4 linked regions of the Tamandua tetradactyla genome follow. The protein of the gene in region 1 interacts with the protein of each later gene in a pairwise test. Links are inferred from orthologs where the notes say so. Each region holds a gene or a part of one and is shown in the gene's direction. Other genes may lie near its edges.

Region 1 (7,236 bases):
CTGCTTCTCCATGTTTGTAAAGCACCCGGTGGAATGTCGGCACACAGCTATTTTTTTTTAATACTAGCTATTATTATTTTCTGAGAAAGTATCTTATTATAGAGGAAAAGGTATGAGTTTCAGAGCAAGATTTGGCAAGTTATTTGGCCTTGGGCAAGTTATTCTTAAAGACTCAGTTTCTTCATCCGTAAAATCTGGATAGCATCTTGCATGATGGTTTTAAGATTCAGTGGTCGAGAGAGCACCTCTCATATAATAGACACCAAACTTGTAGTGGCTCCTCTAAGCATTCCCAGAGTCCAGAAGCAGCTTCCATTCAACATGTATTAGGTGCCAGGCACTGGGCTAATCTGGAGTTAAGATTTTTACAGAAGAAAAAAGAAACTTAAAACTTCAGGAAAATAAGATTCATTTTTTAGCAGCTTCTTCCACAGCCTCTAGAGAGTCGTCCAAAGATCATGTCACCCATCCCCCTGCCTCAAGTCAGGAGTTGAACTGTTTTATGAAAACGCCAAAAGTTCTAAGTCCTTACAACCTCACCCAGAAGTATGCTTTGATTCCTGTAGCTGTTACTTCCATCTGTCTTCACAGTATTATTCCACTTGTTTGAAAAATCTTCAGTGACTAGCTTCTCATGAATTGGTTAAGAAAACACTAACTACTATAAAAGTTAAAGCCCAATATTTTGGTGACATAACAAAATAGAAATGATTTACTGGTCAAATGAAGTCCAAAAACACATCCTGATTAGTAGGCAGCTCTCCGCCAAGTAGTGGTTCAGAGAACCAGGCTCTTTCCATCCTGTGGTTCCATTATCTTTTACATGCGATTTTCAAAGTCACTGGGTTCAAGGTCATTTGCATCAAGCCTGAAAGGAAAGAATATAAAGGATCTCTCTTAGGAGACTGAAGTGGAACACATCCCTTGAAGGGAAAATGAAAAATGTGGTCTGTGTATGTGCTGTTTTGAACCTATTATGTACCCCTGAAAAACCAAGTTCTTTAATCCTCATTCAGTATTGCTGTGTGAGATCTTTTTTATTGTTTGCATGGAGATGTGACCCACTCAATTATGGGTGGTTTGTGATTAGATAGTTTCCATGGAGATGTGTCTCCACCCATTCAAGGTGGGTTTGTTTACTGGAGCCCTTTAAGAGGGAACCATTTTGGAAAAACTTTAGAGCCAACAGAGCCCACAAAGCCAGAGACCTTTGGAGATGCAGAAAGAAAATGCCCCTGGAGAAGATATCTGAAACGAGAAGCCAGAGACCCCACAAATGCCAGGCACCTGTCTTCCCATCTGATAGAGGTGTTCCTGACCTAGCGGCCTTTCTTGAACCAAAATACTTCTATCTAGACACCTTAGTTTGGGCATTTTTATAGGTTTAGAACTATAAACTTGCAACTTTTTTTAAAAGCCATTTCATAGGTGCAAGGGTAGTTCAATGGTAGAATTCTCGTCAGCCATGCAGGAAACCCAGGTTCAATTCCTAGCCCATGCACTTGCCCAAAAAACAAGCAAACAAACAAAACAATAAATTAAACAAATGGTGCAGCAATAATGGGATGCTCATGTGCAAAAAGAATGAAATGTGATCCCCGCCATATAGCATATGAAAAATATATAGCCATTCCATTTCTGGTATATTGCATTCTGGCAGCTTACAAACTAAAACAGTGTGATAAAAAAAAGAAAAGAAACACATTCTGATAAACACATAGCAGGCTCTGCCTTACCTGGCATTCAAGATTCTCCATACTCTGGCTTAAACTTATTTTTATATCTTTATCTTCTATTATCCAGGTCTGGCTCATGCCTGATATATTAGTCAGCTTTGCTGCAGTAACAACCAATTACCAAAATCTCAGTGGCTTACAACAACAAAGGTTTATTTCTGTCTTATGTATATATAGGCTATGGTTAGGCTGCAGCTCTGCTCCACAGGTCTTCGCATTCAAACACCCAGGCAAAAGGGAACATGCCCATTCTAGTGGCAGAGAGGAAGAACAATAAAGTGGAAATTCACATGCTCAAATCTGGCATGAGTCCATCAACAGGAGGTACTGCAAGTCACATGGTAATGGGCAGGGAAGGAGAGAGTTTAATTTTAAACAATAAATCCATCTAATGCAAAACTCCCATCTTCTATCTGGAGTACATGGGAAACAATACTAATTAATTATAGCACTCTTTCCTCAGAATCCTTCTTAACACGACGCTTCAGGCAGCCATTACGAATAATCTGGGTCTACAAAAAAAAAGTTAAAATTTATTTCCTGTTCTTATGTGACTCCCTAGTCTCTTGCAAGCATTATACATTCTCATCGACAGACTTTTGCTTCAGTCTGGAATGAGTTTAGTTCTGCCAGTCCCTGTCCTACTAAACCATCTAAATCTAACCCAGCCTTCAAATATCTATATTTTACATTCATTTTTTCAACAAAATTTATTGAATACATTTTGCATATCTGACACATGTATTTGTTGAATGAACATTTCACATTACCTTGTGCCTTGCACATACATGCTCAGTGAACATTTACTCCCTGATTGACTAACAGCACTCTTCCTTAAAACAATAGGAGTTAAAATACCAATAGCCGGTGGGAGTATGGTATACTAGCTATTTGTGCTTGAATCTTGATTCTACCATTTACTGGATGGATGACCCCAGGCAAATCATTTAATTATGCCTCAATCTCATCATATGCAAACTGTGGATAGTAATAGGGAGTCCTATACAGAGGTTGCTGTGAGTATTAAAGGTAAAAAGCTCTTAGTGTGGTTTAACACATTTTAAGCACCCAATAAAAAATTGCTATTATTTTTAGCTCCAGCTGAGATTGAGTTTTCTTATAGGTCTTTATGCTGGGTAGAACACAAAAACCAAGATCACTTGAGAATTGGGTCCTTGAACAGGCCCCACTCTTAATCCACCCCAGGACCTCGAGCCATTTCCTGATCCAGCAACTTGTTCCCTAACTCATAAATCTTGACTAATAACACAGACCCGTCACCTTAATGTTTGTGCAGACCAGTGACTTATTGTCAAATGCTTGGAGATCTTCAGATGAAAGACACCCAAGGGCAGGCACCAGACATCCCATTCACAGTCATAAAAGCAAAATACCACCCAAAACTCTGAAAAGCCAGAAGGCTTCATGACTTAGTGCAACAAAGAATTAAAAGCAGGCACCTAAGAAAAGCAAATTAATCCTGTAATCCCTTAATACAGGGTTTGCAGAAAAATAATTTTGAATGAGGCGGGGAGGGGGTTGGGGGTGGGGAATAGATAGGATTCCCAAGTCTTTAACTTGACTCCAGGGGTTGGGAGAGTGTGAATCTCTTTCACTTCTCCTAAACAAAAACCGGAGCAACAGCATCTATTGTTATCCTAAATAATTTAAGCCAGTTAAAAGGCTTGGGTAAACAGTACCATATAAGTAGCTTGTGAGTCTTGATGTGTCCTGAGTTATGCCAGGCTCCCCTTTCAACTTTATTTCCCTCTGTTCACCGCCCCCACCACCAACACTCCAGGAACTGCATCCTCTTCAGAGATCCAGAGGCCATTCTAGGGGAATTGTGCATATTGATAGGCTTCTTGCCTCTAAAATCCTCAAGTTGGAAGAAAATGGTTAGTGCTGACCATTTTCATATAGTTTTTACAAGGGGTCCCTGGAGTTGAAGCAAAAAAGAAACGGGTACCACAGCTATTCGTTTCCCATCGTCTGAGTTGGTGGGTAGCTGTGGTGTGGTGGAAAGAGTACTGGATTTAGAGTCTAGCAAACAGAGACCGGTTTCTTAAAATTTCTGAGTTCTAGTTTCCTTATCTATAACATCTGGAAAGCAACAATGCATATCTCTCAGGGTTCTTGTGAAAACTGAATGGGAGGAGGTATCAAAAAGCGTTCTATCAAACCTAAAGATTTACAAAGAAGTTATAGCTATAAATGCTCCATACCGCCAACAATGCACGCTGCGAACCAGCACCCACACTACCGCAGCGGGCCCCCTCCTACGGCATCATGGGAAGTGGAGTCCTTTGGTGGCCACACCCTCGTTTTCTGTCAAGGAAGTGAAACTCCGCCTCCCAGGATGCCGTGAGGAGGCCACAGACGCGGCCGCCCCTTCTCCGCCCTCATTGCGCGCAGCTTCCTGGGATGTGTAGTCCCAGACCCGAGCAGTACTCCGGTGTACAGTGCGAAAGAACCACAAGCCCCAGAAGCCCTCGTGCCCACTCTTCTCCCTCCCCTCCCGGAGTCGGAGTGCTGTTTTTGTTGTTGGTGAAAGGTGAGGGAACAGCTGATCCGTCTGTGGGGTAAGAAACTTGGCCTAATTTGGGGACTGTTTTATGTGGGGAGGGGGTCACCCCTCTTTCCATGTTGCGAAAGGATAATCTAAGGGAATTGTAGGAAGGGGGGATACAGGGGCGTTTGGGTTTTAACACTTTCTGTGAGGCCACCCACACTCTTCTGGGAGTTCTTGGTTTCAAGGGGGCCTTTAGTAAAAGGTGTCCCTCGCTGTCCTGTCCTCACCTTCCTTTCAGTCCTTCTCTATAAGCTTGATGCGCTTAGGGGAGTGGAAGGCTGAAATCTTTGCGCATTCTCTCCCAGGCGAGACGTAGCCCCCACAAACTTCCCCTCACGAACGCCCCACCACTACCACCAACTCCACCAAATCCAAAGGCCTTGACTACGCTGAGTGCCTGAAAAAAAACCTTCCAAGTTGTAGAATGTCAAAGAACTCTAGAGCCCTACGGAGTGGGCTTTACTCTCCCGCCCCATGTAACCCCCTGAATCTGGCTGCACGCAAACGGCTTTGGTGTACAGAGCTTTCTCTTAGGCCTGGGGCAGCTATTACCGATTTTATTTGTGGGGAGTATTTGGGATTCCCCAGGCTTAGATATTTGAGAATAACTCAACCCCCTTTAAAAAGCCAAAAGAATTATATTTGGAAAAACTTGAGCTAGTTTTAACTAGGGATTTTTCAGAGACATGAAAATCCAAAGAACTCCTTGTCTTTGATTCAGTCTCTAGTTGGGAAGAGGTCACTCCTTCTTGTCGAGTTAGCACACCTTTCCTTCTCCACTGAGTTTCTGTTTTCTTTTAAAGTCCCTGCCACCCTGACTTCAGCCTGGTGTTTTGGATTTTTTTTTTTTTTTATGTTTGGGGGCGTGCCCATAATTATTGGCGATGGCTCACTGGACGCTATCAACTGTGGCTGGTGCAGAATGCAGATTAGTGGGCTGGAGGGGAAGGATGAAAAAGGGGGCCGCCTCACTGCTCTGAGCTAAATTCTCTTGATTGTTATTGTTATTATTATCTGTCCTCACTCTATCCCCATATTTTCCCCATCAGCTCTCCCCAACTAAATTGGAACAACTTTCCTCTCAATACCATCCTAAAGCATATTTACAACTACCAATCCAAACAGATGGAAGGATTCAGGCACTTAGAACTGGGGCTAGAGGAACAGAGAGAAAAGGAGGAGGGACGTACTAGAGCTGGGTTAACACCTGGTCAAACCGGTAGGTTCCTAGTCCTGTTCCAGACAAGATCTGGAGAGAAGCAAGGTAGGGTTTTTTAAAACTCTCTCTTCCACCCCTCAGTATTAAATATGCATTCCCCTTTTCTGGCTCCCCTACTTCTACGTTCCCTGCCCAGGGGTGGTACTTTCCTTTCCTGTCTCCTGACACCCACGTTCCATCTCCCCCACACCACCATGTTCCAGCTGAGTGTGTCGCCCTTAAGCAGCCGCCTCCAGAATTCTTGACTTCCTGGAGTGATGAAGTGAAAGAATGAAACCTGTCTTTCTTTATATCCTCCCTTTCCCTTTGTCTCTTGGATGAGAACAGAGGCTTTTTGCTACCCCAGAATTCATGGGGGTAGACAGCTCAAAATGGGGAAGAGAACTGAGAGCCCAGAGGTCTGAGGATTCGGGTGTTGGTGCCCTCCTAACCATAATCCAGCTCTGAAGACTCAGTCATTCCTTTCAGAGTTTAGTTGCTGTTTTCAGGTGTCGTAAGTCATTCCTAGGTGCAGCTAGGTTAACAACCTCAGGAGTGAGTAAGTAGACCTGCTCAGAGTGAGGGGGCACCACACTTTTGTTGGATTTTTAATTCAAGAGCCAGAAGGTGTGGGGGATGGGATGGGAGATGGAGGATGGAGAATTCTGAAAGCTTAAGGCAGGTAAGAGGTGAAAAAGAGGGTCTGAAAAGAGCCTGGGGTACTGATACCTGGTCAATGGGGTGACAAAAAAGGGAGCCAAAATTAGAGAGATCTGAACTCTGGAAAAAGTCTATGAGCCAGAGAGGGCGCAATGTAAGACAGTGTGGGTACTGACTTAGAAGGCCAGACCTACATCCTAGGGACTAAGAGTGTACCTCTAAAGGGTCCTATAATCCTAAAAGGGGCTGGAAACCATTTGTCTTCATCTCTAGGTGTGGAGGCATGGTTCTGAGAAAATGGAGACTCTAGGATATTAACCCTTTCTTTCACAGGAAGGCAGGCACGATGGAAGAATCATCCCTAAGCCGGGCACCATCCCGGGGTGGAGTCAACTTTCTGAATGTAGCCCGGACCTACATCCCCAACACCAAGGTGGAATGTCACTACACTCTTCCCCCAGGCACTGTGCCCAGTGCCAGTGACTGGATTGGCATCTTCAAGGTATCCCTGGAACCCCTTTTGGATCCAGCTTAGGGGCCATGGGTTGCTGGAATAAGGGGAATGACTAGGTTCTTGGACTCTCAACTGCATATTGAGGAAAAGGGAGAAAGATACTACAGATGACAAGGGCCATCTGTATAAGCTAAGCTAGTCTCCTCCCAATCTTAGCTTTGTTCTCCCCTGACATATTAGTGTCCCTCCACTTGCCCTGTCTCTCATCCTCCTTGCCCTGTAACATTGTCCTATCCTTCGTCCAATCCCTCAGCCTCTCTACCATGCATAGGTGGTAGTGCTATCACTGTACCCTTCTCCCATCTTGGGCTTTCACAGGTGGAGGCTGCCTGTGTTCGGGATTACCACACATTTGTGTGGTCTTCAGTGCCAGAAAGCACAATTGATGGTTCCCCTATCCACGCCAGTGTCCAGTTCCAAGGTACACGGGAAGATGGAAAACCAGGAGGGAGGAGGAAAGGGGATAGACATTTGGAAGAATGCGTTAAGCTCAGAAACATAAAAGTCAGGCACAGGCAACAAGGGAAAATAAATGCAAATGAATACAATGAGAAAT
Region 2 (6,844 bases), on another chromosome or scaffold:
CAGAGAGGGAGGGGATTCTAAGTGCTCATGATGGCCCCTGGCCGCAAACTGCCTCTCTGAGGTCTCTCCTGGGCTCCAGGAGCCCCAGGGGGGCCTGGGACCTTGACTTGAGTTCAAACTTCAGAGACCCCAGTGTAGGTGTCATGTCTTTGTGTATGCCCATTGTGTGCAAGTGGGGAGGTGCATGGAGGAATGGTGTATGTGAAGCAGGTCTCTGGGTAGTCAGGGAGGGTTATTAAGAAGCCCAAATCCAAGGTCCCTAACTGACCGGTTAGCCTTGGGAAGGACCTTGGGAACCATCTCAGTGGCCTCAAGGGACAGTGGGGCCTTGGGCGAGGAACACTCGATTCTGTTTTGGAGGAAGGAAGCAGCTTGGCAAAAAGTGGAGTGGCTCCTGGACATATGGTTTCTGACTTCAGTTCAAGGCTGGGCCTCCAGCCTCTGTGCCAAGATCTAAAGATTGCTCCGTAACCCGCTGATACCATTTTCTGTTTGTTTGCTTGTGCTGCTTCCCTCAGCCAAGTCTTCTAGATCCCCCACTAAGGGCCTGCAAATCTGAGCCCTGCTCGTGACAATCCACCAATTCGCTGTGCTTATGTCCAGCCAGTAGCCTCCTCCACAGAAGACCCTTCCAGCCTTAACCCTTCTCCCCTTACTCCTCACCACCCCTGAAGGCCACATGAATGCTTAAAATGGTTCACTGGATCTTCCTGCTCCTGGCCTCACTATAAACGTACATTGTACACACAAACTCACAGCCACACCCTGTGCCATGCTGCGTCTACTCCCAGCGTGGCCTGGCCTAGGCTAGGCCTAAAGGGCAGAATGCCTGGCTGGGCTTGGCACTGGCCAAGCCATGGGATCAGTGGGCGAGTTGGGAGTGGCAAGGGAAGGTTGGAAGAGGGGAGCAGTACATCATGCTTTATAATTAAACTCAAATCAAAAAATAGAAACAGCATCAAGTGTGTAGAGACAGGCGTCTGGAAGCCGATGGCACAAATTGCCCATTGGAGACCACAGCTTGGGCAAGATAACCCCTCAGGTGGGTGAATGCCCCTATTTCAGGGTGGCGGCACAGAGCATGCCGGGTAATGAGGGGTCAGGGCACCAGTGCCTTTGTTGGGTAGAGGACTGGGGAAGTGTGGAGAGGGCTGGGGGTCTGTGCTGGTTTGAGACTATTATGTACTCCAGAGAAGCCATGTCCTTTAATCCTCATTAAGTATTGCTGGGTGGAATCTTTTTCATTGTTTCCATGGAGATGTGACCCACCCAATTGTGAGTGGTAACTTTTGTTTGATTGGATGATTTCCATGGAGGTGTGTCGCCACCCATTCAAGGTGGGGTTGCTTATTAGAGCCCTTTAAGAGGGAACCGTTTTGGAAAACGCTTTAGAGCCAACAGAACCGACAGAGCCAACAGGACAGACAGAGCCCTGGGGAGGCCTCCGAAGAAGCCTGGAGAGAAAGCTGGCAGACATTGGCATGTGCCCTTCCAGCTGAGAGAGAAACTCTGAACATCACTGGCCTTCTTGAACCAAGGTAACTTCTGTTGGATGCCTTAAGTTGGACATTTTTATAGCCTTGCCTTAATTTGGACATTTCATGGCCTTAGAACTCTCAACTTGTAACTTACTGAATTCCACTTTTTAAAAAGTCGTTCCAGTTTTAGTATATCTCATTCGGGCAGCTTTTACTAGCTAGAACAGGGACCAACTGGGTCAGAGGTAAAGGCAAAGCAAAACACAGGGATCTGGGTTTGAATCCTGGCTCCCACACAATTTGGCTGTGTAACCTTGGGCATATCGCTTAACCTCTTTGAGCCTCAGTTTCCTCATCTATAAAATGGGGATGAAAATATTACCAATGTCCTAAGGATACTGTGAGGATTCAATGAGAAAATGTCAGTACCTGGCTCTGTGCCTAGTATGTAGTACATCCTAGTAAGTGGTGAGTAATTATTGCTGTACTGAGAAAGAATCATCCAGAGACACAAAAAGAAAGAACTCAAGTCTCTGAAGGAACCCTCTGCCCTGGATATGGCTGAGGCTTAAAAGAATAGCAGTAACAACAGTACTGGTAATCCCAGTAAGAGGCACCATGAGGCAGCCACTGTGGTGAGCACTTCACATTTACTATCCCATGGAATTCTCACAGCAGCCCCACTGAGGGGCTCAGAGAAGTCCGCACACATATACCAAGTCATTGACCTGGGAATTCTACCCAGACCTGCCCACTACCTGCCCACTTCTGCACTCCACGCGTGAGAACCCCAGCTGCTCACCCCTGGTACCCCCTTACCTCCATCCCCAAGGCTTCCTTCACCAGACTCCTTGCTGGGCCTACCCTGAGACGTGCAGCCCTAGCTGGCCCCCCTGGGAGGAGGGGGCAGAGGGAGAACATGTGTCTAGAGCAGCAGCTGAGGAGGTGGACGGCAAACCGCTGCCCCTGCCCTGAGGGAGCCTGTGCTCCGCCTGGGGCCACGGGCATGCAGGGGGCTCTCCTGGGACCCTGCGGAGGAGCAGGGGCTTCCTGTGAGGGGGCAGCGAGGCAGAGACAAACGGGAGAGCAACAGAGAGAGGAGGAGGGATACAAAGACAGAAAACAAGTGTGTGAACTTGTAAACAGCAGCCACACAAGAGAACGGGAAAACCACAGCCCACAGAGGCAGCCGCTCAGCGTCGGTGGGAGCAGCAGGGAGAAGGTGACCTGGAGCCCCCGGCACCGAACAAGGACTAGAGTGTTTGGAGAGGGGAGCCAGGGGCGGGGCCTGTCCCTGCTGGATGCTGGGCCCCTGCTTCGCCCTGCTTGGCAGAGGAGATGTGGAAGGCGCTGTCTGGCAGGACCCTCAGCAGTCAGGTCTGGGGTGGCAGAAACAAGGGAAGCCTCCTGTAGCCCCCCGACTCTCCTTCCTTGTCTGAGCTTGGAGCTTCTGGAAAGAAGTCACTGGGCTGGCAATCCTGGATCCCCCCCGGGACAGAGCAGACAGGCGTGGGTATAGCTATGAGGTTTGGGAGAGAGGCCCTAGACAGGACCTGACAAAGGGAAAAGGCCAGGGAGAAGCCCCCATTCTCCAAAAGTGGGCCTACGGCTCCTAGGAAGCTGAGGCATGGGTTGTGGCCTAGCAACCCCGGATTCCTGACCCCTCAGCTGGCTCTTCCCTGGAGCCCCCAGGAGGTCTGGGGTCCAGCTTTCTCTCTGCTGTGTCTGGAGATTGGGCTGCGAAGCCTCCACCGGCCACTGGGAGGCAGTGTTACCCCACGCCAGGCTCCGCGGGCCAGAGCCCCACCTGCCAGGCTTCTGGAAGTTCCATCCAGCCCAGCCTGGGGCTCTTGCAGCCCCTGCTGCTGGCTTCAGACCAGTGTGGAAACTGGACTTCCCTCGAGTCCGGGGACTTTTCCAACCCCGACACACACATACTCATCATTGCATACCCAGCCACTCCTCTCATCCTCAGGTCAGACCCTCAGTTAACCCTGGTCAAGCAAGGCCACAATCTTTAGCCTGAGAAAGGGAAACTGGCCCAGAGAAGAGCCAAGATTTGCTTCTGGTCACAGAATGGGTCGTGGCAGAGTCCCAGCCTGAGGCAGGCTCTTGGGACTCTGTTTCTACCACTTGAGGTCGCCTCCCATCTTCATTGGGGGAATGGGGGTGTTTATGGGGCCAAGAGTCTTCAATCCCAAAGATATGCCAAGCTGAGAGAGGGTCTGGGTGTTTTGGGACAACCGCTGCCTCAGTCCACAATAGGCTGGTTCTGTTCTGAGGCCCCACCCCCCTGGGCTCCAAGGGGAGGATCTGGAATTCTAGCCACTTCACAGCATGTGTGTTCTGGGTAGAACCTGCCCTGGCCCCATTCCGTTCACACGCAGAGTCCTGCCCCTGCTCCCACTCCCCCACTCCCAACCCCTGACCATGCTCTAGGTAGGTGGCAGGCCACCCAGCCCACCCTGAGAGGTCACAGTGAGGGATGAGGGGGAAGGCCGGGTCTTCACTCCCACCCTGTCCCCCTGCTGCCCGCTGGGTGAGCTTGGCCAAGCCCGTGGCCTCCTGGGTGCCCGTTTCTCTTCCTGCTCCAGGCACCTCCTACCAGAAAGAAAAACCGTTCCTCCCTGTTTACACCGTCCCTAGCTATTGGCTAAAGGGACCAGAGATTGTTAGCCAAGATGGGCACTCCTTCCCATCACGGCGCCAGACTCAGGTCCTGGTGCCACTGACCCCCCAGCTGTGCAGGGCGCCGGATTCCCTCAGCCAGCTGACTCCTGACACAGCCCACCCCGCCGGGGTGAGGCCTGCCCTGCAGCGCTGGCCTGAGTCCTGGGGGTAAGGAGGAAAATCCCTGGGCTTCCAGGCAGATGTGTAAGTCCTCAATGCCAGGCTTCCCTGCACAGACAGACCAGCTAGCGGCCCTTCCCTGGGGTCCCCAAAGATGGTGACTGAAAGAACTGGGGATGTATTTGGAATAGCACAGACTGGATTTAAACCCCAGCTTCCCTACTTATTAGCCAGAGGGCATTGGGTGGCACTTAAAAAAATTTTCTGTGTGCTTCAGTTTCCTCCTGTGGAAAACAAGGACTGCAGTATCTACCTCATACATGGGGGAGAGAGTAAATAAATGGGTTAGTGTTTGTGAGGCACCAGACATATAGGAGGCTTCAGATTATTCAGTGTGGAAATGCTAACAAATGTTGGTTCACAACCCTACTCCAACCCCAGATGGGACTTGCTCTCCATGCATCTGAAACTGGAAGGGGATGGGAACCTGAGGACAGCCTGTGGTAGGGGGGTAGGGGCTTGAGATGAGCTGCCTTGGGGTGGGGGGTGGGTGGGCCTTCTCGGAGCCCTCTCAGGGCCGCAGCCACCTGTGCTGTCCATCCCTACAAAGTCCCGAGTGACCAGCGTCTTAAGGGCTGATGTCTGCCTGAACCAGTGCTGCAGACAGGAATGCTGGGGGCCCCTTGGCCAAAGCCTCTGACGTCAAATGCCTCAGCAAAGGGCAGGTGAGATATCTGCCCAGCTCTAAGGTGGCGACAAGGGATTCTCTTGAATGGTTCCAGGCTTCAGCCCCCACTAGATACTAGCTTCATTTAAAGCAGCTCAGTCCCTTCCCCCAGCATCCCAGTGGCACCAGGGCACTGCCCCGCATCTGTCCACCGCAGTGTGTGCTCTGTCCCAGGATGGACTCGTTGCAGAAACAGGACCTCCGGAGGCCCAAGATCCATGGGAGAGTCCGATTGACCCCCTACCAGCCACCCACACTTTCTTCGCTGCAGAGGCTGCTATGGTCCCGCCGGGCCATCCCACTGACCCACATCAACGAGGTCTGGCCCAACCTCTTCCTGGGCGACGCGTAAGTAAGGTCCATGACACTGGGGGTGGGGGGGTGCAAGGTCTCACATGGGGGTGGGGGACTGGGCCTCTACAGAGCCGTCAGGTGTCGTGGGGACAGAGATGGCCCTTCTTTACCTCTCACCATCTCTGTCCACATTTTTCTTTCCTTATTATTATTACTTTTAATTGTGAAATATAACACACACATAAGAAAAGTGCCCAGAGCATACGTGTACAGTTTCACTGCCCAGGTCAAGAAATATTTCTAACTTGTGCAGAAGCGCCTGCTGAATGCATCGTATCCAAATCCTATTCCTTCTCCCTGTAGATGACCATTATCCAGACTGTTGAAATAATCATTTCCTTGCTTTCCTTTATAGTTTTATCATCTATGTACCTCAACAATGTAGCTAGTTTTGCCTAAAGTTTTATGAATGGAATAAGACTGTGAGTGTTTTGTGCCTGGCATCATTTGCTCAAAATTGTGAGATTTACCCATACTATTATGTGTTGCTGTATTTGTTCATTTTTCATTGCTGTATAATACTTCATCGTTTGAACACACCATAGTTTATTCATCCTATTGCAATTGTACCTTTGAGTTGTTTCCACTTTTGGGCTATTGAGAATAGTGATGCTCGGCACACTCTACCCCATGGGTCCTGGGAGCGCACACAAGCTTGTTCAGAGTGTATATAAAGAGAGAGCAGAATTGTCACTATCTCTAAAAATTAGAAAAATATGCATTGATATATATGGGTTTTTGAAGATATTCTCAAAATTTAGAAAATATTGATCAGTATTTTATCCCCAAGCACACACACACAGAGACAACCAATAATAAAATCCTTGTAAATTTTTTTAAATGCATATACACATGCATGCTTTTTTACAATTATTTTTAAAAAAATTGGTATTATGTCATAATGCTGTTTTATAGTGTGCTTTATATAGAAAGATTTTTAACTAGAATCACACGTTTTAGAACATTTTCAACAAAAATTGAATTTCCCTATATACACTGTTTTGTAAACTGCGTTTTTCACAAGCTTCCAATATAGCATGAACATCTTTGCTTCTTTATCTCCATCTATTAGTAGTTGCATAGTATTTCATCATTTAGATATGCCATACTTAATCTCCTGTTACAGGATATTTAGGGGTTTTTTTCATTCAGTTTTTCACCATTTAAATATCACTAGGTTCAGCGTACATATGTCCGTGAGCACATTTTGGATTCTTTAATTAAGTTCCTAGAAGGAGAACTGCTGTGGCAAAGTATATGTACATTTTTAAGGCTTTTGATGAATGCAGCCAAACTTCCCTCCCTGAAAGTTGGCCTGAGGGAAAGGGACTCTTTAAACTCCATCTATGAAAGCTACTTCACCCCAGGTCAATTCACTGGTTCTAGTCTCCACCCTTGCAGGGAGATGCAGAGGAAGGAAGAAAATTCCAATCCGGCCAGGGGGTGACTGGGTGAGAGCTACCCCACCTCTCTAATCCCCCCGTGGCCTCCCCCC
Region 3 (6,981 bases), on another chromosome or scaffold:
TGTTTGTGTTTCTTTCCTGTAACTTTTTTGAATTAATAAAAAATTTAAAAAAAAAAGAAATCAAGTGATTTTTCAGTTTATCCATGCTTCAACTATCAATTTTTTGCTCTAAATTACATGAAACCATAGTTTAACATAAGTAGAAATCAATGGAGAACTTACCTGTGAAAACCATCCTTCAAAACTTCTTGCCTCAAACTAATTTCAGAACAAGCGGCTTTCAGGCCTAAAAGAACCAAAAGATTTTTAAAAATAAACACTCATGAAATAATATTTAAATAATCATAAAATAATTGTTTAATAAGTTTTACTTGCTTGGAAAATCTAATCATCCTAAAAACAAAACAAAAACTTTAAACAATCTGAGCACATAAATCTCTTTTCAGTATAGGATAGTGGTTAAGAACACCGATTCTGGAGTTAGATTGCCTAGTTTCAAATCCAGGTCTGTGACTTAATAGCTGTGAATTTGGGCAAGATATTTTTATTCTGCTAGTAATCATGAGAATTAATATATGGAGTAGCACTTACTGCAGGGCAGTATTATTATCACATAATAAGTTCTCTATACAGGTGTTTGCTATTAATATTACCTTATCCTAGGACACCGAAAGGAACAGAATAACTAAAAAGCCAGGAAATAGTTTTAATTCTAGCTCACTGAAATTGCATACCAGACACATACTAGTAACGTGTGTCTTCTGCCACCCAAATCTATAAAACAAGAAAGATGGTACATTTATGCCCTGTATGGCTGTTGGAAATATTAAAAACAAAACAAAAAGTAACTGGAGGCACTTAAAAATTCAAAGCATTCCTTTATAAACTTAGATTAATGAGATATCTTGTTTTAGGCTATACTGACTCCATGCAGAAATCAGATATTAAAACTACTAATGAATGTCAGCATCATAAAACCAAAAATTCAGTTACTATTGAACTGCACTTTTGCTAACACTGGCAGGCACTGTTCCATGGAGCTTTATCTCAATTTCAAAAGTTGGAGGTGTACACAAAGAATATTAAAACTCAAAACACAGAAAACCACAGGCTATTACTGTATGTTGCTGAACCATGAGAAGTATTCCTGAGAAGGTTTATGAAAAAAAAAATGAAGCGGACATGAAAATATTCAAAATATACAAAGCAAGGAAGAAAAAAACAACAGGAAAAAATATTTATAAATATATGCAAACCCTATACTTCAGGCTATCACTCATTTCTTTTATCTTTCACAAACAGGCAGACAAAACTACTGCCATTAGTACACAAGAGGAAACTAAAGAGCTGGTAACTGGCTCAGTTACATAACCAAGTGATTAGAAATAAGGTTTGCCTAACTTATTTTTTTTCTTTTTTGTGAAAAATAACATATAAACAAAAAAAGCAATAAATTTCAAAGCACATAGGCTGAGACCCAACATCGGGAGATTGAGAAAACCTTCTCCACCAAGGAGGGGAAGAGTGAAATGAGACAAGTGTCAATGGCTGAGAGATTCCAAACAGAGTCAAGAGGTTATCCTGGAGGTTATTCTTATGCATTAAGTAGAAACCACCTTGTTATCCAAGATGTAATGGAGAGGCTGGAGGGAACTGCCTGAAAATGTAGAGCTGTGTTCCAGTAGCCATGTTTCTTGATGATGATTACATAATGACATAGCTTTCACAATGTGACTGTGTGATTGTGAAAACCTTGTGTCTGATGCTCCTTTTTTCTACCTTGTCAACAGATGAGAGGAACATACAGAATAAAAATGAATAATAGGGGGAACAAATGTTAAAATAGATTTAGTTTGAAATGCTAGTGATCAATGAAAGGGATCAGTAAAGGATATGGCCTATAAATTTTTTTTTTCTGTTTGTTATATTTTTCTGTTGTTTTTTTATTTCTTTTTCTGAATTGATGCTGATGTTCTGGGAAATGATAATGGTGATGAATATGCAACTATGTGATATTGTGAACTGCTGAGTGTATGTGTTGAGAATGTTTGTGTTTCTTGTAATTTTTTTAATTAATAAAAATAAATAAATAAATAAAAAATTTCAAAGCACACTGCAACAACTAGTTTTAGTATAGATTTCAGAGTTTGGTATGGGTTACAATTCCACAATTTTAGGTTTCTACTTCTAGCTGCTCTAAACTAAAATATCAATATAATGATTCAGTAATCATACTCATTTGTTAAACCCTACCTTCTCTGTATAATTCCACCATCAACTTTGCTCTCTCTTCCACTCCACTTAGGATATTTGCTGCTTATTTTTAAAGTCTAAGATTTCTCTCCTTTACTTAATATTTATTTAAAGGAATGCTTATTTGCTTTTGAGAAGCATATAAACGCTCCCAAATGAAATAACCTATATGTCTCTTTTACAAATTCAGATTTGTCTTCATAATGCTTTATTTTAATGGGGGTTGGTGGGGAGTAAAGGCTTATTGTCTCCCTATAAATTATTTTAGAAAAAAGTCAGATAAGTACGCTTAAATTCTATTGGGATGCACACTAGAAAGCAGTAAATCACATTCACCACGGGATGGTGGAGACGCTAATTTGCAAACAGTATAGCAAATGCTATTTATCATTCTTAAGACAAAAGCACCATTTTCCAAATGAGTCTGTTACAACCGAATTCACCTTCAGGGTTTTTTCTCCTTAAATATTACTTTATTCGGATGTGATAATCTGAACTGGCTCTGAAAATTGACCCCTTTTTAATCATAAAATGTCAGTGCAGTAAGAGTCTTTAGAGATAACCAAGTTCAGATGTCTGAGAATGCTTTTGGCCTTATAATCCTTTCCTCAAATAAATTTGGAACCTAGTATGTAAAACACACAAAGGAGAGCTGCACTGTTTGACAGACACTAGTCTAACAGCCTTACTTTAAGGATAGAGAACGCACCTGGTTTGCGCTGACTTTCCTTCCTCTGGCAAACAGGATCACTTAGCTGCAATTATTACTGCACATGTCAATCTCCCCTATCACATTGCAAACTGCACAATGTTAGGCCGTGTCTGGCTGGCTCAGGGCTTCATCCACAGCACCTAACAAGCACTTCGGGCCACTGACACGGAATCAAAAAAGTGAACCAACTCGTTGCTCACCCAGGAATCATAAAGAAACCCTTAAAAAAGATGTTTGTAAAACTAAATTAGTCGTTTCCCTAGAGTCTCTGCATTCTGGATTGGGCTGCTCGCAACTCACAGAGCGTTGAGATCTTGCTGACCCCTTGGTGGTCAGGAGCTTTACACATCCGAAGGCACTTCACGGAAACACCTTTTTTCTGGATTAGAACAGTGCCGTCACCCTCGCCTCGGAATGACAAAGCCCGGCTCTCCAGAGACTCAGGAGCGGACAAAGCCATAAGACGAGGAAGGTAGGGGCCCTTTTTTTTTTTAATCTCCTTCAGCTCACCCCGGAGTTCTGAGATCACACGCCGGGATACACTATACATCTTTGCTAGTCAAGGGGCGGAGAGGACCCCCGGAGTCGCGACTGCCTGTCCCCGGCCACGGCCCTCAAACTCCGCCCGCACTCCCGCAGCCCCGCCCCTCTCATTACCAGCGTCGGAGAAGGCGGCGGTCAAGGCCCAGGCAGGAGCGCGGGTGATCCCAGCTGCAGCCCAGAGCAGCAGCCAGGCCACGGCCCGGGCAGCCACTGCCCGAGCAGCCAGAACGCCGGAGGGCGTGTGCCCGTGGGGCGCGCAGGGACGAAAAGAGGATGGAGGAAGGAACCTGCACACGCCTAACGCCGCTCCTTAGAGCACGATGCCACGGAGTTAGTGATCGGGACGGAGGGTTCGGTGCAAGTACAACTGCAGTCCCGCGGTTTTCGCCCCCCTTCTCACAGCCCCAGCCCCCGAAGGTTCCGGAGCCCCGTGAGGCCCGTCACCTGGCCCCTCCTTCGTTGCCCCCTCGGCCCCGCCTCTCACCGTTCCTCTCTGGGGCGGGGCGAGAGTGGCGCAAGCGCCGTGACGTGCACCCAGGGCTGTTGCTGTGGAAACCACGTTCTGTGGGCGCCCAGGTGGAGTTTGAACCCGGCGGGTAGGCCTAGGAGCAAGCTCAGCGCGCTTGGGCTCTCACCCTCCACTTCCACGCATTTATGGATTCAGGCCTCGTGCCGGAAGTTCACCCACGTCCCCTGCTGCGGGCCATGACTGTCTCTTCTTCCTGCAGCGCTGGCTTCTTCCTGGCCGCAGTGTGGGGATAAGGGCTCTTTGCGTGCGCTGCAGTTGGATGGAAACGTCTCGGCACGGAGGTTGTAGATGTTGGTCTGTATAAGATGCACTTTCTGTACTTTTCTAAGAGTAAGATAGTCAACCTTGTGCTAGTGGAGCCTATGGAAAATGAAAGTCTTGCGTAGAGAGAGGATAATTCACCCTCAGAGGGGTGCCATTGGTGTGGCAAAATACATACTTTTATGCTCCTTTTACGCAGGGTATGGACCGATGAGTAAAAAGTATATAGATAAAAAATAAATAAATAATAGAGGAGTAAGGAGTAAAATAAAATTGGGTACATTGAAATACTAGGGTTCAGTGAGAGGGAGGGTAAGGAATATGGGATGTATGCATTTTTTTTTAATTTTTTTGGAGTGATGCAAATATTCTAAAATGATTATGGTGATGAATACACAACTATGTGATGATACAGTGAGCCATTGGTTATGCACTATGTATGGACTGTATGTGTGTGAAGATTTTTGTCAATTAAAAATTTTTTTTTAAATCCATACTTTTCTAGGTGCCGTAGGGGATCTTTAGCAAGATTATGGCAGGCCGAGCCTTCGGGAGAGAAAAAAAACATTAATATCCAGGAAGAATAAAGTAAAAACTATTCTTCATGAATTAAATTGATTCTGTCCGCAGGCCTAGAGAGCATCTAGTGTAGATTGGAGCAGAACAAAGGGCTCCAAGACGGATGCTTCAAAGAGGAAGAGTGTGTATCAAAAGATAATGTCTACTGTGAGTCATTGATTGTATACTTTGGATGGATTGTCTGCTGTGCGAATAGGGCTCAGTAAAATTACATTTAAAAAACAAAGCAAGGGAGTGCAAGGGTAGAATTCTCTCCTTCCAGGCAAGAGACCTGGGTTCGATTCTTGGTCCAAGCACTTTGCAAATAACAAATAGGCAAAACAAAACCGAACAAATAAAAATTCAACAAATGATGCTGCAATAATGGGATACTCACATGGAAAAATAATGAAATGTGACCCTACCATACAGCATACAAAAAAACAGCAAAAAAAGATAACATCTAAAACTGAAAATAGCAGTATTTTATTAAGAAATATGGTGATACATTTTTGGAAGAAACACCTAAAAGACTTGCGACTGGTTGCCTATAAGAGGGGGTAGAACAAGGGGCAGTAGTTTTTTGTTATAAACCTCTGTATTAGTTAGGGTTCTCTAGAGAAACAGAATCAACAGGGAACACTTGCAAATATAAAATTTATAAAAGTGTCTCACGTGACCGCAGGAACGCAGAGTCCAAAATCCACAGGGCAGGCTGTGAAGCCAAGGACTCCGATGGAGGGTCTGGATGAACTCCACAGGAGAGGCTCACCAGCCAAAGCAGGAATGGGGCCTGTCTCCTCTGAATCCTCCTTTAAAGGCTTCTGTGATTAGATTTAGCATCACTAATTGTAGAAGACACTCCCCTTTGGCTGATTACAAATGGAATCAGCTGTGGATGCAGCTGAGGCGCTCATGACCTAATCCTATGAAATGTCCTCATTACAACAGACAGGCCAGCACTTGCCCAATCAGATAAACAGGTACTACAACTTGGCCAAGGTGATACATGTCCCTAACCATGATAACCTCCTAGAATTATTTTATTTTTTAAGCAACATACAAATATTACTTTAGTAAAGATAAAAGTTATATTTAAAAGAATAGAGAGCGGGCCATGGTGACTGAGCAGGCAGAATTCTCATCTGCCATGCGGGAGACCCAGGTTTGTTTCCCAGTGTCTGCTCATGCAAAAAAAAAAAAGTATCTGTAGTCAACACTATTTTATTAGCGTATCAATTGGCACATTACCATTCATGAGTTGAACCATTTGCTTAAGTGTTTGGAGTTTATATTGTGCTCAGCAGGATCTGGAAGACTTACAGACTAAATTTAGTGAAGTGAGTTGGGAGTTGTATTTGTAAAGAACAAAAAAGGGGGATTAGATAGGATCATTAGGTCAGGAGCAAAGCACAATAATTAGAAAAAAGCAGTTCTTTAAATATTGTTCATTTCCTAAGAGTAAAATTTCCCATGCCCAACAATAAAGGGTGAATAAAATAGATTATGGTACATCCATAGGACAAAACACTTGGCAGTCATATTAAAAATCACAATTTAGTAAAACATTTAACAAGAAAGTAATCACATACGTTGTTAAATTTAAAAGGGAGGAAATAGTATGTATAACATAAAAAATATACTGTAGCTTAAAAAACTAAAATTATATACCTAGAAAAAAGACTGGAAGGAATTATGGATGATTATTTTTGTTTCCTTTTTTCCCCAGTTTTCTAACATGAATATGTATTTCTGTTATTTAAGTAATTTTTTTAAACCATGTTCCTATAGTGATTCTCTAACAGAACTGAGTTTATGAGGATGTCATCATCATATATCATTTTACATCAAGGTTTCTTGATATTTACAAATTTTCCAAAGATTATCTTGGTCTCATCTAAAGCAGTCCCTGTAATTAAGTGTATTTTGGTATTGGGGTTGGGATTGGAAGTACTAATCCGAAAAGTACCGTTTCTTGGTATTGAAAACAATATTATATAGTGAGACAAATAAGCTGAAATGAAAGCCAGGTGAAAATTATTGTCTACTATATGTAGAGGCCAATTGATTCTGCACCACATTGACCTTTTTAATCAGATTTCTAGACTATAAACATTTAGAGGCTGTACAGGGGCAGTGTCATATATTAATATATTGAAGTAAACAGGTACTTATGGTGTGCCTA
Region 4 (7,084 bases), on another chromosome or scaffold:
TGGCAACATAAGAGTTACAGATAGGTTAAATGATACTATGAGGAAGCAATCAAATCCAGGATTCTACTACATAAAAAATTCATCCTGGTATTCACCATAGTAAGATACATATCTCTTCCTAATTCCCTTTTACATCTGGATCGTATCCTTTTACAAGGATTTATTCATTCATTTGTGGTTTGTTTCCCTCCACAAGAAAATTAGCTCTATTAGGGCAGGGATTTTAGTCTATTTCTGTTTGGGTGCCTAAAATAGTGCCTATCATAAATGTTTGTTGAATGAATTTCAAGGCAAATGGTGGCTCTAACAGAGAAAACCATAAGGTTTACTTGTTTGCCTCCTATATTAGACTCTAACTTTTGAGGTAAGGATTCTGCCTTTCACCTTTATAGACTCAGCTGTTATATTGTACCTGAAACATTCTATGTTTGTTAAATGTTTGTTGAATAAATAAACTGGGGATTGTCTAAGTCCAATCATTCAGTGCCTTGTACAATTAGGAGAAAAGAGTAGGCACTTTGGAATTTTATTTCCATAAAGTCACAAATCTGTAATTTTCCTTGATAGTCTTCTCTGATGAATCAGAGGAAGACTGAAAAGTCTCCAGAACAAGATAACTGAGGCAAAATTAAAATATCACCCTGCTTTTACTTGGAAGTCCACAAATCACACTGTTTCTTAGAAAATAACACTTCAGAGTCATCTATTTAAGGTATAACTGCTTTTACTATTTCACACAAAGACAGCAATATAATAAAAAACAAGTGCGAAAGTTTACCCTGTATTTAAAGAAGTAAAATAACATACGATTAAAAATTAAAATTAACTAAAAATTTGAGAAGCCTTTTTGACCAAAAGAGAAAAGAGAGAAATGAGACAAAATAAAATTTCAGTGGCTGAGAAATTTCAAACAGAGTCGAGAGGTTATCCTGGGGGCTATTCTTATGCATTAAACAGATATTCCTTTTTAGTTTATGGTCTATTGGAATGGTTAGAGGAAAGTACTCAACAGTGTTCCAGTAGCCTTGATTCTTGAAGATGAGTTATAATGACATAACTTTTATAATGTGACCGTGTGATTGTGAAAACTTTGTGTCTGATGCTCCTTTTATCCAGGGTATGGACAGATGAGTAGAAATATATGGATAAAAAGTAAATAATAGCGGGGATAAGGGATAGAATAAATTGGGTAGATTGAAATACTAGTGTAAGAAACTGTATATAAGCACTGTCTCCTAGCTGATAAAGTTTTCCACAGGGCCATGGGTTAACAATTCTGGCACTACTATACAACTGAACTGGCACTGAACGATTAAGTAAATGGGTGATGGCAGATGATGGGAGTCAGGCTCCTCACTGTTACTGTGGGAGGTTACAGATAAGCAAGGGAGGATGCTAGTATCAATCACTGTGATAATGGATTGCAGTTGAAATGGATACAGATTGTTACATATAGAAATATTTATAGATATGTGTACATACATGTTAGTATATACACATATCTGTTCTTGCTCTGTCAGTTGATAGGACCTAGAAACAACGCAGTCCAGTAGCAATTACCACACCTAGTGCACACATCTTGGCTTTTAATACCATTCTTCAATATGAGGAACCAGAGCTTCTCGGAGTAATACCTGACTCTGAGACGGGAGCAAAAAGTATTTAAGATGAGCCTGGAGGATCGGTAGTGCTAGAAAGTAAGGAAGTTCTCAGGAAAGACAAACAACAAACTCACAAAAATGGGGTCATATTAAAGGGACACAGGAGTCAAGTGAAAGAGCTCCCAATGGCAAAAGGTAGAACAATATAGGCAACAAAATAAGGTGGTATTGGATTATAATGGAATGTATAAAATAAAATCCATGAATCCATAACAACATGAATAAATTATTAAATATATAAATAAATGGGGGATGAGAGACAAATCTCCAAGATCTTGGCACTAAGTGTGCTTGTTACTATTGAACTACCTTTGTTTCTAGGTTCTCTCAACTGCCAGAGTAAGGAAAGCCATGCATGTATCCTAACCTGTGTTTGCACATAGGCAGAAGAATTCTAAATAATTTATGTAGCTACCCCACCTTCAAGGAGGTGGAACATAAACCCCTTCTCCTTATGTGTGGGCTGCACAAAGTGACTTCCTTCCAAAGAGTACAGTATATAAAGGGGAGAAAAAGAATAATTTTGCAGTGGAAAAACCTGACAAACACTGCCTTATCCAGGCTAACAATCTTAGTGATAATCATGTTGATAGTACGCATCCTTGATATGATGTGATTAAATGACACTTTATGTGGTCCTTCTAAAAAACCATTGCCCCAGTCTAATCATGAGTAAAATACTTGAAAAGTCCCAATTGAGGGGCATTCTACCAAATACTTGACCAGTACTACTGAAAACTGTCAAGGTCATCAAAAAACAAAGTCTGTGAAACTGTCACAACCAAGAAGCATCTAAGGAGACGTAATAACTAGGTGTATGTGGTATCCTGGAACATTAAAAGGACACTAGACATACATAATATGTATTTTCTGTATTCAAATGGGTATTTTTTAAAAAGTTGATTACCCTGAGGTAAGTACACATCTCACCCAGTTCCATTCTATTCCAAGAGGCTATCTGATGTAGAAAGGTGCGCGCTGACACTACTCCGTGGTTGCAGAGGGGGCATGGAGTCCTAGGATTTCTCAGAGCTTCTGGATTCCAACTGATTTTTGGTGCAGGGTGGTTGGTGCAGCCTGCCCCCATTCGTTTTGGTGGCAGCGCTCTGATTGTTGAACGTTTACAGTTCTGATAACTTTCCTGCCTTTAAGTTTAGTTATGGCTTTTTCCTTATGGCATGAACTTACTGATATTCTACTAATAAATTCCTTTCTTTGCTTAAATTTGTCAAATTTCATTCCAATTGCTTGTAATCAAAGAATTTCAACAGATAAAACCAATTAAAATATCTAAGGATTTAAAATGATATTGGTAATCTGATTTTAATGCTCATATTGAGGAGAAAATATGTAAGAACAGCCAAGAATACCTTGGAAAAGAATGATGATTTCTCCAACAGCCATACTATAAACGACAGTAATTAAAATAGGGTGCTATGGCTGCAGGAATAATTATCAATTGGACAAACTCCAGAAACAACCCCATAAAAACGTGGGAATTTAGTATATGCTAAAAGCACCATTTCAAATCAGTGTGGAAATAGTGAAACGAATTGACAAGGGTTTTTGAGAGTTTCGGATATCCATATGGAAAAAATGTTATAATCCACGAAGCTATGACTTGACCGAGACGATTTCTCTCTTGACCAAGCTACTGGCCTTGCCTCTCCTGCCCCAATACCTGCTTCCTCCCCAGAACTGAAACTGGTCTTGCACTTGTGGGACTGCAGAAAAAAAATAACTCAAGACTGCAGGAGGAAAAAAGTGGGGGGTGGGAGCGGAAAGACAATTTCAGATAGTAGCTACTCCATGTTATCAACTTCATTCTCCTTACCCTCCCCTTTTTCGCCAAGGGCTTACTGGAACTTTTTCACTGCCCTTGCCCTAAATATAAAATTCAACCAATCTCATGCCTTCCTCAGAATCGAGCTCTACTCTCTTTCTCCTACCGTGGTAGCTAGTAATGAAGTGCCTGTTCCGCACTGTCCGGTGCAGTTCTTTCTTCGATAGACTAGCCAGACACCACATTCTTTTCTCCCAGCAGCCGGAAACTCGTGAGAAGCGTAGTTTGGTGGAAATTTTTGAGAAGCACTGATTTAACTTCTATGAGTTTCTGTCTTACTCGTCTTACCCCAGTGAATTCAAGAGGAAATAGGCTAGAAAGCCGTTAGTACAGTACAAAGCGCAGAACAAATTTATATTAACATTAATTCTGCTCAGAGCGACACTAACACACTCAGAAGTGTAAACCTCCCGCAGTCTTCAATTCTCCACTAAAACCTGGAGCTGGAGTAATCACTGGATCCTTAAGCGAAACTCAGATCTGCGCATGCTCTGTAGGTGGAGCCGCGCCCTTCCTCCCCCTCGTCGGAGCTCCCGCTTGTTTACTAATTTACGACTGTCGTAAACTGGGATTTCCTGACGGTTCCCTAGCTTTACGTCGATAACAACTATGGCGGCCGCCAGTGGTAGATTTGAGAGTGAGAGGCGTATTGAAGAGCGTAAAGAACAGACTCGGATTGCCAGGGCCGAAGTGTTGCGCCAGGTATCTACCCCCGTTATGGGTATTTTGGAGCCTTCTAGAATTGTGGGACTGGAGGGAGCTAGCCGTTCAGCCCCCTCGTCCTCTGCCTTCAGTTCCACACCTTATTTGAGCGAGGTCTCCCTTTGGGATGTCTCCAAACTCTTGGGTATCGCTTGCATACTAGATATTCTGGCGATCCAGTTGCCGGTTCTCTTTGCAGGGTGATCTGTACTTCCTCAGAGTTTCCTTACCTCTTAAAATCACTCCTTCTTGACTTTTCTATCACCTAGGTTGCTTACTTTGAAGGGACGCCGCCAGTTGCAACGACTCTTCTGCCAACGGGCTTCCCAGCCTCAGTCTTCGCTGCTGATGTATTCGAAATGAAATTTTTTCATTTTGAGGAACATATGCAAGGCGCATTGGGGTAGACTGTATTTGACTGCTTTAATCTACTGTTTTACTATTGATATAAATTCCAAGCTTATTGTAAGCCCTTACTTATATAAACAAGGATTGACAAAGGAAGCCCAGACAATTTAGATTTTCGAAAAAGGTTGAGAAACATTGTAGTTCTCATTAAGATTGAAATACAGGGTGGGCCACGGTGGCTCAGCAGGTAGGAATGCTTGCCTGCCATGCTCGAGGACCCGGGTTCGATTCCCGGTGCCTGCCCATGTTAAAGAAAAAAAAAAAAAGAAAGCTTGAAATACGCATTATGTTACTACGAAAGAATAGAGGAAGTAAACTACACTGTGCCATCTGGCAAGCTATTCACGATATCAGAAGTTTGACAATGCAGAGGAAAAATTGTAGTTGGAGAACTACATAGGGTACAAGTGAGGGTTTTATTTTGGTTTGATATAAGACGAGAGGTTTAAGCGAGTTGAAATGCAGATGAGAAGGAGCGAGTAAAGAAGAAGAGTTAAAAGAGAGGATAATGACTACAGCCATATCTTAAGAGTAAGAGTAGGGTATTAGTCTTGTCACTGTGTTTCAAGCACTGTTTAGATGGAGTAGGGTTTGTAAACATTTTTTAAATCCTCTATTTAAGACTTATCTGCAAACTGAGCTTTATTTTCTTTTATTTAGTGCTCTTGTGAAATAATTTACTCGTTGGTATTTAAAATTTGTTTTTGTTTTTTTTTTGAGATTTCGGGCCAGCTTGTTGAATATAACTCAGGTAAGGAAGAAAGATTAATTTATGGGAGGATCAGTAGTAGCAAAGCAGTTCTAATAAGATTCTCTCGGTAGAGAACAGCAACCAAAAACATTAGATTGTTGAATAGAAATTATGAAAATCATTTATTTGTGTACAAACTAAGATAACTTTGAGAACTGACATCTGTTTGCAGCATTGCCGTTCATGTTGGAGGCTCATTAAGTGTTTTCTTATTGTAATGCATTTTCATATAAGTGGTCTTTCTGTTTGAGCTTCCTTACTTTTATTGGTGTGGAATAAAATGACACTCACAAATGCTACAAGAAGAAAACTTCCAGTTCACCTTCTGATGTGTTAAGAAATATCCAAAACTTGGAAATAAAGCATAAAGTGACCCTGTCCTTTTAATATCAAACTACAGAATTTTCTAAGAAGCCTGTTTAGATGATCATATGATTAGGGCAATGCAACTTTGTTTGACTATTTCCTATTGGTTATAGCTGAGACTTTGTAAACTTAGATATTTGCTTTTAGAAAGCAGGGAAGATATATTAATTATTGACTGTAGAGAATATATCCCCAAAGGCTATTCTTCCTTTGCTCTGTTGGACATTAAATGGGTTTGAATATATTTTAGCAGTCATATTCCAGCATTGTTTTTTTCCCTTGACTATCTCTAAGAGAGAGAGAGAGAGAGAGCGTTGTTTCTTTTTTTAAGCTGCATAATATTCCACTGTAATTATGTATCATAATTTATCTAATCAGTTTGCACTGAATTACATTTATTTATAATTTTTATTACAGAGGACTTTAATGAATAATGTCTGTAGTAATTCGTGTAATATCACTTGTACTATGTTAGTATTTTTTTGGATAATCTTTCATTATTACATTGTTACAATGAATAACCTTATATATGCTTATTTACATGTTATCATTTGCATATATATATATATTATTATATATACACACACACATATATCTGTTGGATACATCCCTAGAAGTGGATATATGCTTTTGTAATTTTGAGAATTATGACAAGGTTACTCACCATAGAGGATATACCAGTTTACTTGATTGTCATCAGTGTATAAAGTATTTGTGCATACTTTTGACATCATGGTATGTAATCAAACTTTTCAATAATATTTTAAGATGGCACTAATGTCACTCTTAGGACCTAATATTATGCTACTGATTGATTTGCCCACTTCTGGGTATTTTGATTATTTATTTATTTTCTAATAACTTCCCCAGAAAAAACAAACAAACAAGCAAAAATTATTCCCACCTTGGTTTAAATATTTCACATTCCCATCTACTCTGAATATTGTGTGACTGAGACCTATATCTTCCGTATGTGTTCTGTATGTATTTTTTCCTTTTTGATTTTCTTTTCATGTGGTTGCCAGTATCTGAAATAAGACACTGTTTTTATCAGTCTTGTAATATTCATTGGAGAAGTTTTGAAGCTGTTTTTAAAAAATGAATGTTAAAGATATTTGTTTTTAATGGCTTCTGTATGAAGCATTAGCATTTGTAATAAGTACCATAAATTCTGTGAGCTTTAAAGTACTGTAGAAGGAAAATCTGGGAGGGTTTTATGAAAAAGAAAGAGTATATTGCTTCAAATTGCTTAAGCCTATGGCATCATATGTTTTAACATCTTGCTTACAGGTTTGGCTGGAAAAGAAACAATGAATCCTTGTTAGATTCAGATAGTTTATTACTTTAATAGAA

Evidence for each region.
Region 2: the proteins of CALCOCO1 (region 1) and DUSP13B interact in binary tests that used the Homo sapiens proteins (3 or more experiments, as listed by UniProt). The two-hybrid records come from large-scale screens. The link is inferred for Tamandua tetradactyla from reciprocal best matches to the Homo sapiens genes CALCOCO1 and DUSP13B.
Region 3: the proteins of CALCOCO1 (region 1) and CEP19 interact in binary tests that used the Homo sapiens proteins (3 or more experiments, as listed by UniProt). The two-hybrid records come from large-scale screens. The link is inferred for Tamandua tetradactyla from reciprocal best matches to the Homo sapiens genes CALCOCO1 and CEP19.
Region 4: the proteins of CALCOCO1 (region 1) and CWF19L2 interact in binary tests that used the Homo sapiens proteins (3 or more experiments, as listed by UniProt). The two-hybrid records come from large-scale screens. The link is inferred for Tamandua tetradactyla from reciprocal best matches to the Homo sapiens genes CALCOCO1 and CWF19L2.

Annotation. Positions count from the first base shown.
Region 1 is NC_135333.1:115,162,573-115,169,808, reverse strand, and holds the start of CALCOCO1 (calcium-binding and coiled-coil domain-containing protein 1), read left to right. Parts: upstream 1-4,214; 5' UTR 4,215-4,318; intron 4,319-6,499; 5' UTR 6,500-6,512; coding exon 6,513-6,668; intron 6,669-6,998; coding exon 6,999-7,101; intron 7,102-7,236. UniProt on the Homo sapiens protein: Functions as a coactivator for aryl hydrocarbon and nuclear receptors (NR). Recruited to promoters through its contact with the N-terminal basic helix-loop-helix-Per-Arnt-Sim (PAS) domain of transcription factors or coactivators, such as NCOA2.
Region 2 is NC_135339.1:21,488,111-21,494,954, forward strand, and holds the start of DUSP13B (dual specificity protein phosphatase 13B), read left to right. Parts: upstream 1-3,818; 5' UTR 3,819-3,963; coding exon 3,964-4,316; exon of another isoform or gene 4,317-4,352; intron 4,353-4,878; exon of another isoform or gene 4,879-4,937; coding exon of another isoform or gene 4,938-4,993; intron 4,994-5,107; exon of another isoform or gene 5,108-5,169; coding exon 5,170-5,343; intron 5,344-6,844. UniProt on the Homo sapiens protein: Dual specificity phosphatase that dephosphorylates MAPK8/JNK and MAPK14/p38, but not MAPK1/ERK2, in vitro. Exhibits intrinsic phosphatase activity towards both phospho-seryl/threonyl and -tyrosyl residues, with similar specific activities in vitro.
Region 3 is NC_135336.1:16,998,522-17,005,502, forward strand, and holds the start of CEP19 (centrosomal protein of 19 kDa), read left to right. Parts: upstream 1-3,955; 5' UTR 3,956-4,258; exon of another isoform or gene 4,259-4,271; intron 4,272-4,868; exon of another isoform or gene 4,869-4,964; intron 4,965-6,981. UniProt on the Homo sapiens protein: Required for ciliation. Recruits the RABL2B GTPase to the ciliary base to initiate ciliation.
Region 4 is NC_135334.1:34,509,639-34,516,722, forward strand, and holds the start of CWF19L2 (CWF19-like protein 2), read left to right. Parts: upstream 1-4,058; 5' UTR 4,059-4,113; coding exon 4,114-4,206; intron 4,207-7,084.